Saccharomyces cerevisiae S288C: one gene and its partner. The gene in region 2 interacts genetically with the main gene of each other region. Each region holds a gene or a part of one and is shown on either strand. Other genes may lie near its edges.

Region 1 (5,756 bases), on a different chromosome or scaffold from region 2:
CCTGGTTCTAATAGGCTCTGGTTCATTGATTTCATCACCTAGTTGTAGCCTATCTAGTGGTTGTCTTGCACTTGGGCTTTCCTTGTTATCACTCCTCAAACAACATCCCGTTGAAAACCCTCTTCGATATGCGCCTCCATTATAAAAGAGTCCTTTTATTGAGACGTTCGCTTGTCTGAATAGGGAACGACAAGCATATTTTCTTGAACTATTCAACATTTTACTCTCGCTTCCCAAATTCCCCTTTCTATGGTGATATTATAAAAGATCCTGTAAGCTGCTGTTTTACGAAGGTATTGTAGACGATCCGTAGCCCTCTTTAGCAATTGTTTGACTACTATCGATGGGACTTCTCGAAATTCATACTTTGTTAGGTTTTCTTTTTTATCCCTAAAAAGAGCGAAAGGATCAAGCAGAAAATTAAAACAATAGGCTACATCATCGAAGTTTCAAAGACCGGCATATCCGTCCATTTTTGAAAACACCCCACCCAAAATTGTAACTATCGACAGATTCTATGATAGCTACCCCGGGATGAAGGGCAGTCTTCTATAACTTGGGGCGGCAAGCAAACCAACCGTCATAGTTAATAAACCACACGTTGGTTATTTAGATTTCTCGTCCTGCTTTTCTGTCGCCAATAGGGCAACCTTAGAAAAGGTTTGAGGATAGTGACTACATGCAATCAAGGTAAAAGCGTTATCGAATAAGTAACAAGCATTCCGTGCTAAATTGACGAGAATTGGCAAGATGCGTCAGCACTATTTGGAGCAAACACACCAACTGGATGTCTTAAAAGTCAATTCAACGACCAATTTATGTAACCAGCGTGACTAGGGCAACGAATTTACGTCTTTTTTCTAAACTGCATATGCTATGAAATTAAAGATATACTGCCTCTATAAAAACATTTATATTTTCCCTCCTTTGCAATGGAAATGAAAACGGCGGTAAAAAAATTCGTGAGAATAAAGAGACGAGTACAAAAGTTCAATTAAAAACGCCAGGAACTGTTCTTTATCTTATTCTCTCCGTACGCTGTGTCACAAAGCTCTTGTATTGTGTCTCGCTTTCTTTTTCCAGATCTATGAAACCAGAATCACACCGCAGCAGCGACGGCTGTACCGTATTTAAGAGAATCCGCATGGGAAAAGATTACAAATTACCCTAGACAAATTTATAGAAGCGGTGCTTGTGAGATTTACTCACATTCTAGGATTCGAGAACTAAGCATTGTAGTTCTTATTTACATCCTTGAACAAATACCTGCCTATCTCCGCACGTACTACGTAGCCACAAATGTATATATAATCGTGCGTTGTATTTGCGCCCTCACCCACATATTTGACATGTGCATGAGACTGGATATTTCTTGAAGCATATTCAATAGCGTCGATGGACAGTTAGCCCGCAGTTGTATTGCATTCAGCACCTGCATAGGTGACCCTCTTTGGCTGCCTATTTGGATAAAACGCGTTATTGGCGCTGGCGCAGACCTCGAAAAAAAAAATCAAAAATGAAAATAAGAGCATAAAAATAGAAATCAAAAATATTCTTTCCTGTGTTTCAGATTTACATTCAGTACCAACATTTCGACTTGTAGTAAATCCTGCTAGAAGAATCACATTGGTAGACGGTTATAAACGTTTACCGATTTGCAAAGTTCTCGAGTATTTTTGGTGTAGGTCCCATTTTCTTCAAAGGTCCTGTTTAGACTATCCGCAGGAAAGAAATTAGAATGACCGGCTTGAATGGAGATGATCCTGATGACTACTATCTGAACCTTAATCAAGATGAAGAGTCTCTACTTAGGTCAAGACACAGTGTCGGCTCAGGAGCACCTCATAGACAAGGCTCTTTAGTGCGGCCCGAAAGAAGCCGACTGAACAATCCTGATAATCCACATTTTTATTATGCGCAGAAAACGCAGGAGCAGATGAATCACCTGGATGTTTTACCATCAAGTACCGGTGTAAACCCAAATGCAACTCGTCGGAGTGGCTCCCTGCGCTCCAAAGGCTCAGTGAGAAGCAAATTTAGTGGCCGCGAAACGGATAGCTATCTTTTACAAGATATGAATACTACTGACAAGAAGGCTTCCGTTAAAATAAGTGATGAAGGTGTTGCGGAAGACGAATTTGATAAAGATGGTGATGTGGACAATTTCGAAGAAAGCTCCACGCAGCCCATAAATAAGTCTATCAAACCATTAAGAAAGGAAACGAATGATACATTGTCATTTTGGCAGATGTACTGTTATTTCATTACGTTTTGGGCACCTGCTCCAATTCTTGCTTTCTGCGGGATGCCAAAGAAGGAAAGACAAATGGCGTGGAGAGAAAAGGTTGCTTTAATTTCTGTCATCTTGTACATTGGTGCGATTGTGGCTTTCCTGACTTTTGGTTTCACTAAAACCGTTTGTAGTAGTTCGAAACTACGTTTGAAAAACAACGAAGTATCAACAGAATTTGTCGTAATTAACGGTAAGGCTTATGAATTGGATACTTCCTCGCGTTCCGGTATACAAGACGTTGAAGTAGATTCAGACACCCTTTATGGGCCCTGGTCAGATGCTGGTAAAGATGCTTCGTTCTTGTTTCAAAATGTGAATGGTAACTGTCATAACCTTATAACTCCAAAGAGTAATTCTTCCATTCCCCATGACGATGATAATAATTTAGCATGGTATTTTCCTTGTAAGTTAAAGAATCAAGATGGCTCTTCGAAGCCAAACTTCACAGTTGAAAATTACGCAGGATGGAACTGTCATACGTCTAAAGAAGATAGGGACGCATTTTACGGTTTAAAGTCGAAAGCTGATGTTTACTTCACTTGGGATGGTATAAAGAACTCTTCTAGAAACTTGATTGTTTATAATGGCGACGTTTTGGATTTAGATCTTCTTGATTGGTTGGAAAAGGATGACGTTGACTATCCCGTTGTATTCGATGACTTGAAGACTTCAAATTTACAAGGTTATGATCTTTCGTTGGTTTTGTCAAATGGGCATGAAAGAAAAATTGCGAGATGTTTGAGCGAAATTATTAAAGTTGGTGAAGTAGACTCCAAAACCGTCGGTTGTATTGCCTCTGATGTCGTTTTGTATGTTTCTCTGGTATTTATTCTTTCAGTGGTGATAATTAAATTCATAATTGCCTGCTACTTCCGTTGGACTGTAGCTAGGAAACAAGGTGCATATATCGTGGACAATAAAACAATGGATAAACACACAAACGATATCGAGGATTGGTCTAATAATATTCAAACAAAAGCTCCTCTAAAGGAAGTAGATCCTCATTTGAGGCCAAAGAAATACTCAAAAAAGTCGTTGGGACACAAGCGTGCTTCAACCTTTGACTTGCTGAAAAAACACAGCTCCAAAATGTTTCAATTTAACGAATCTGTGATAGATCTAGACACCTCCATGAGCAGTTCACTACAATCTTCTGGTTCATACAGAGGAATGACAACAATGACCACTCAAAATGCTTGGAAACTCTCGAATGAAAACAAAGCTGTACATTCCCGTAATCCATCTACTTTGTTGCCTACATCCTCGATGTTTTGGAATAAAGCGACTTCCTCTCCTGTACCAGGATCATCGCTGATTCAGAGTCTTGATTCGACGATTATACATCCCGATATCGTTCAACAACCACCACTGGATTTTATGCCATACGGGTTCCCATTGATTCATACTATCTGTTTTGTTACTTGTTATTCTGAGGATGAAGAGGGTTTAAGAACCACTTTAGACTCTCTTTCTACCACAGATTATCCAAATTCCCATAAACTACTGATGGTTGTTTGTGATGGTTTAATTAAGGGCTCGGGCAACGATAAGACTACTCCAGAGATAGCGTTAGGAATGATGGACGACTTTGTCACCCCACCTGATGAAGTTAAACCTTACTCCTATGTGGCAGTGGCATCAGGCTCTAAAAGACACAATATGGCCAAGATATATGCGGGTTTTTACAAATATGACGATTCTACAATTCCACCAGAAAATCAACAACGTGTCCCAATCATTACAATTGTGAAGTGCGGTACTCCTGCAGAGCAGGGGGCCGCCAAACCCGGTAACAGAGGTAAGCGTGATTCTCAAATTATTCTGATGTCCTTTTTAGAAAAAATAACATTTGATGAAAGAATGACTCAATTGGAATTTCAGCTTTTAAAAAATATTTGGCAGATTACGGGGCTAATGGCAGACTTCTACGAAACGGTACTTATGGTTGATGCTGATACTAAAGTCTTTCCCGATGCTTTAACTCATATGGTCGCTGAAATGGTTAAAGATCCTTTGATTATGGGTCTTTGTGGTGAGACCAAGATCGCTAATAAGGCACAATCTTGGGTAACTGCAATTCAAGTGTTTGAGTACTATATTTCGCATCATCAGGCTAAAGCTTTTGAATCTGTCTTCGGTTCGGTAACTTGTTTGCCGGGATGTTTCTCAATGTATCGTATAAAATCTCCTAAAGGTTCAGATGGTTATTGGGTACCTGTATTGGCAAATCCAGATATTGTTGAAAGATATTCGGATAATGTTACAAACACTTTGCATAAGAAGAACTTATTATTACTTGGTGAAGATAGATTTTTATCTTCATTAATGTTAAAGACTTTCCCTAAGAGAAAGCAAGTATTTGTTCCAAAAGCTGCTTGTAAAACTATTGCCCCTGATAAATTCAAAGTCTTACTTTCCCAGCGTCGAAGATGGATTAATTCTACGGTACATAACCTTTTTGAATTAGTTCTAATCAGAGACTTATGTGGCACTTTCTGTTTTTCCATGCAATTTGTGATTGGTATTGAATTGATTGGTACTATGGTACTGCCGTTAGCCATTTGCTTTACTATTTATGTCATTATTTTTGCCATTGTATCAAAACCTACACCCGTAATCACTTTAGTTTTACTGGCAATTATTCTTGGTCTGCCCGGCTTAATTGTTGTTATAACTGCTACGAGATGGTCGTACCTATGGTGGATGTGCGTATATATTTGTGCTTTGCCTATTTGGAATTTCGTACTACCTTCATATGCGTACTGGAAATTTGATGACTTCTCATGGGGTGATACGAGAACTATTGCGGGAGGTAATAAAAAGGCACAAGACGAGAATGAAGGTGAATTTGATCACTCAAAGATTAAAATGAGGACATGGAGGGAATTTGAAAGGGAAGATATTCTCAATCGGAAGGAGGAAAGTGACTCCTTCGTTGCATAGACAGTATGAAAATATTTTTACTGTGATACTTACAAGTTGATATATGGTTGTGTGTAACTTATTTATTTGAGAGGTATTTTAACACACCTTAGAACTAAAACTTAATAAATAAATATTTCTCTATCTTTAAAGGCACATATTACGTGGCTAAGGCAATTACAGCTGATATACTGTAAAACTCATGTCGCCACTAAATTCTTCTAACACGCGTTCTGTCTCTTTCCAAGGGACTCCGAATATGCCACTATTTATCTGTGGCATTTCCAATTTATATTCCCCTATTGGGTATTTGATGTGGCCGTTTAAATAGTCACCGATTGAATCTTCACTTGTTCGAGTTTTGTCTTTTGCTTCTCTAAAGGTCTTCAATTTATCTAAAGCAAGTTTTGTATAATTCAAAATACTTTGCTTTTCTCCATGACTTGAACCTCCAAATGATGATGTAAACAAGCAACAAATCAGCAGATCTGAGTTTTCGTAACTGGGAAGTAATATGCATTTGCCTAGTAAATTAGAACCA
Region 2 (3,413 bases):
TGTGTACTTGTAGTAATGCCAGCCAGCGGCACGGAACGTACATAAGAGGATATTTTTGTTCAATTGCTGCTGGGTTATTTCATTTTCGTGCGATTGGGAGGAGTTCTCGACATATTTGAAGCCTAATGCAAGCGGATGTCTTCTGCAATGATACATAATTTGCCAAAGAACATTACTCATGGGAATGGTAAACACCAGGAGCCAGAGGCAAAGAGATAAGACGGCAAGGATGGGTTGCAAGACGAGATGGAAGATTGTATAGAAAAGAACACGACCCCAGCTCCATTTTCCTCTCCCAAAGTACCGTCTTTGAGCCGCTGCGTGCGGAATTTCGTGTCTAATAGAATTATATGATGGATGGTTCGAGTTAAGCGGTGTTGCTGTTGTGTTAGCGGGCGGCATCAAAGACGAAGATTCCGTTGCAGGGGCCGGATGGTCCTCTCTTTGCTGAAACTTGGCCTGAGACTGGTGGAAGACCAGCCTGTTGGAGTATGAAGTCACCCAATTGTAGAATTGCTGCATACTAATACCTTCATCCTTATCTTCTTGTAAATATTGCTCGTCCTGCAACAAGTATACCATTTTGCCAAAAGGCCAAAGGAAATAATTGGCGAGTTTATACAGACACTTGGAGTACTCCTTCGCAGAGTTCGTTACCAGTCCTCCGCCGCCTAGTAAAAATACCACAATAGCCGCCGAGTAGAAGAGTATCGCAATGGGGAAACCGAACAAAATAAACCATAGCACATTGGAACAAGTCACCTCCCAGGTAATAGTCTTCAACTGAGTCTCGTGAATGTCTTGCGCCGCGGTTCTTTGAACTGAACGGTGTTTCTTATATAAAGCAGGCTTCCATATCCTGATACCGAAGGGGTGGGTCTCGTTGATGGCGTCCTGTCTTTCTCGTAAAGTGAATGACTCTGTGGACGAAGCATTAGACGCCTGGTCATTGTTTTCCAAGTGTGAAGGCGACTGGCAATTGATCTCGTCTATAAGTAAATCATGGCCGTGCGAGTCGTGTATAATGAACCGACTGTCATCATTGGCGTCCTCGTCATCATTGTCATCATGAGGTAATTCCCGGATAGATGAATGCATTCGTTTCGGAGAGCTGGGAGTAGCTGTATTTAAGTCTGGCACAGAGTGCGACTTGGAGGATAGCGACTCTAGTGTGGGCGGCAAGTGTTGTTGGTGCTCGTGGTGGTGCAGCGTGTTGTTGCTGCTATGTACGATTGGTGATTGCGAGCTTACAGATCGCTTGGATTTATTGGCATGCAGGGCGAACTTCAACCCTTCATGCAGACCCTCAAGATACCTGATATCGTTTTGGATCTCCTTTGGATCATCGTCCACGCTAAATATTCTATGAGGAGTCGAGGCAGATGTAGTTGGGGTCAGAACCTCCTCTTTAAGACGATGGTCTCCAGAGGTACTGTTACCACTGGCAGAAATGTGGTTATTTTTGGCCATTGCTGCTTACCGCTCTTCTAGCTAGCAGTTATTTCACTTTCATTTACAGCATCCCTCATGTTTATTATCTTCTTTATCTAATATAAATTAGGAACTAAATAATCCCCTCACCGTATAAAGCGACAGTTCCGTGACGGTTACTATTATGAATATCTCAACGGAAAGAGGGCATTAAAAGATCATAATAGTTGGTACTCTCGTATTTTATATATATATATCACTATATTTTAACACTTTTACTGCTCAATTGTGCCATATACTTCGCCTTATTGCGTACATTCTTCACCTTGTATCCCCCTACCTCAGCGTGTATGGTGATATCGCGTTTTTTCATAAACTGAGAATGGGGCTTTTTCTATAACGTGTATTATGAAAAAAAGAAAATAAAAATCAAGAATTAAGCACTTGTATATGCTACAGTAAAGACCTCTTCAACTTCTGCAAGACAATCAAAAAAAAAATGATGCGTCGCACGCTATTACATTCATTCGCTACGCTGCTACTTTCTTTGTCGTTGTGGTCAGCTGCGGTCATGGCAGCTGTGACAACTCAGGTTACAGTGGTAACAAATGTCGCAGGGGCCCTGGTTACGGAGACCACAATATGGGACCCTGCCACCGCTGCTGCTGCTGCTACAACTACCGCTCAAACAGGTTTCTTCACTACGGTATTCACTACCACTAACGATGTCGGAACCACCGTCACTCTTACTCAGACAGTCAACAGAGCCACTATGCTACCAACCACGACGACTTCTACCTCATCTACTGGTAAGACAACCACCACTGTTCCTACCGCAACTTCATCGTTGTCTTCGGGACTGTATTTATCTACAGTTACCACGACAAACGATTTGGGTACCACAGTTACATTGACTCAAACGTTCACACATTCTAGCACCAGTGCTACTTCATCCGCCTCCTCGTCTGTGTCCTCGTCTGTATCTTCGTCTGGTTCATCCTCCAGTGTAAAGACGACCACATCGACAGGGAGCGCAGTAGCTGAAACAGGCACCAGGCCAGACCCCTCCACAGACTTCACAGAACCTCCTGTGTCTGCTGTCACTAGTCTATCTATTGACTCATACATTACCATCACTGAAGGTACAACCTCCACTTACACAACCACACGTGCGCCAACGTCCATGTGGGTCACTGTTGTTAGACAGGGCAACACTATCACTGTGCAAACTACTTTTGTCCAGCGTTTCTCCTCCCAGTACGTAACAGTCGCTTCTCCCTCCGTGGGGTCTATTGGGATGGGTACTTTAACCGGTACTGTAGGCGTTATTAAATCTGCAATAAAGAAAACAGTTTCGCATAATGAGGCCCAGCATCTAGGTATGAGTTCGTTTACTTCAATTTTGGGTGGGCTATTAACGGTTTTAATTTGGTTCTTATAAATTTTTATTCAGAAATAAACACAAACATATACATATATAAGAGTAAAAATAAAAAAATAAAAAAATTTTACAGGGTTAAAAATAAAGAAAACCATCACTCCTTTTCTATTTCATATTCCATGACAAACTTGATGCATCAGCAATCTTTCTACCGCCGAAGAGCCAAAACGTTAATAATATCAATGCCATGGCAGCACAAATACAGCCTCCAATCAGGTAAACTATACCTAAAAATGGATTTCTACCGCCAAGGTGAGAACCGTGAGTCAAGTAGATTCCCTTCTTACCATTAAACTCCAATACTGGCCAATGCAGACCGATATCCAACTGGTATTCACCCGCTGGCAAAGTATCGTTTTTATTGATTCTGATCAGTTTTGTAATTTTATCAAAAGCACCTGGCCTCATCCAGTTTTGGAACTCTTCCCAATCCTGAATATCAGGAATATTCGTCTCGTTGTATCCATCTGGATACATCTTTTCCCAATATGGTGGAGGTGCTATCTGTGTATAATTGTATTTGGTTTTTTTGTACCTTTTT

What was found.
Region 1: of KRE1 (region 2) and CHS3, changing one enhances a phenotype caused by changing the other (phenotypic enhancement), as found in Saccharomyces cerevisiae (5 studies listed by BioGRID, with this or other methods).

The regions. Positions count from the first base shown.
Region 1 is NC_001134.8:283,908-289,663, reverse strand, and holds CHS3 (chitin synthase CHS3), read left to right. Parts: upstream 1-1,738; coding exon 1,739-5,236; downstream 5,237-5,756. Other genes in the region: putative thioredoxin peroxidase SCO2, read right to left, coding at 1-219; POA1 (ADP-ribose 1''-phosphate phosphatase), read right to left, coding at 5,393-5,756. UniProt on the Saccharomyces cerevisiae protein: Polymerizes chitin, a structural polymer of the cell wall and septum, by transferring the sugar moiety of UDP-GlcNAc to the non-reducing end of the growing chitin polymer.
Region 2 is NC_001146.8:32,753-36,165, reverse strand, and holds KRE1 (Kre1p), read left to right. Parts: upstream 1-1,930; coding exon 1,931-2,872; downstream 2,873-3,413. Other genes in the region: VNX1 (calcium/hydrogen antiporter), read right to left, coding at 1-1,470; LEM3 (Lem3p), read right to left, coding at 2,978-3,413. UniProt on the Saccharomyces cerevisiae protein: Involved in a late stage of cell wall 1,6-beta-glucan synthesis and assembly.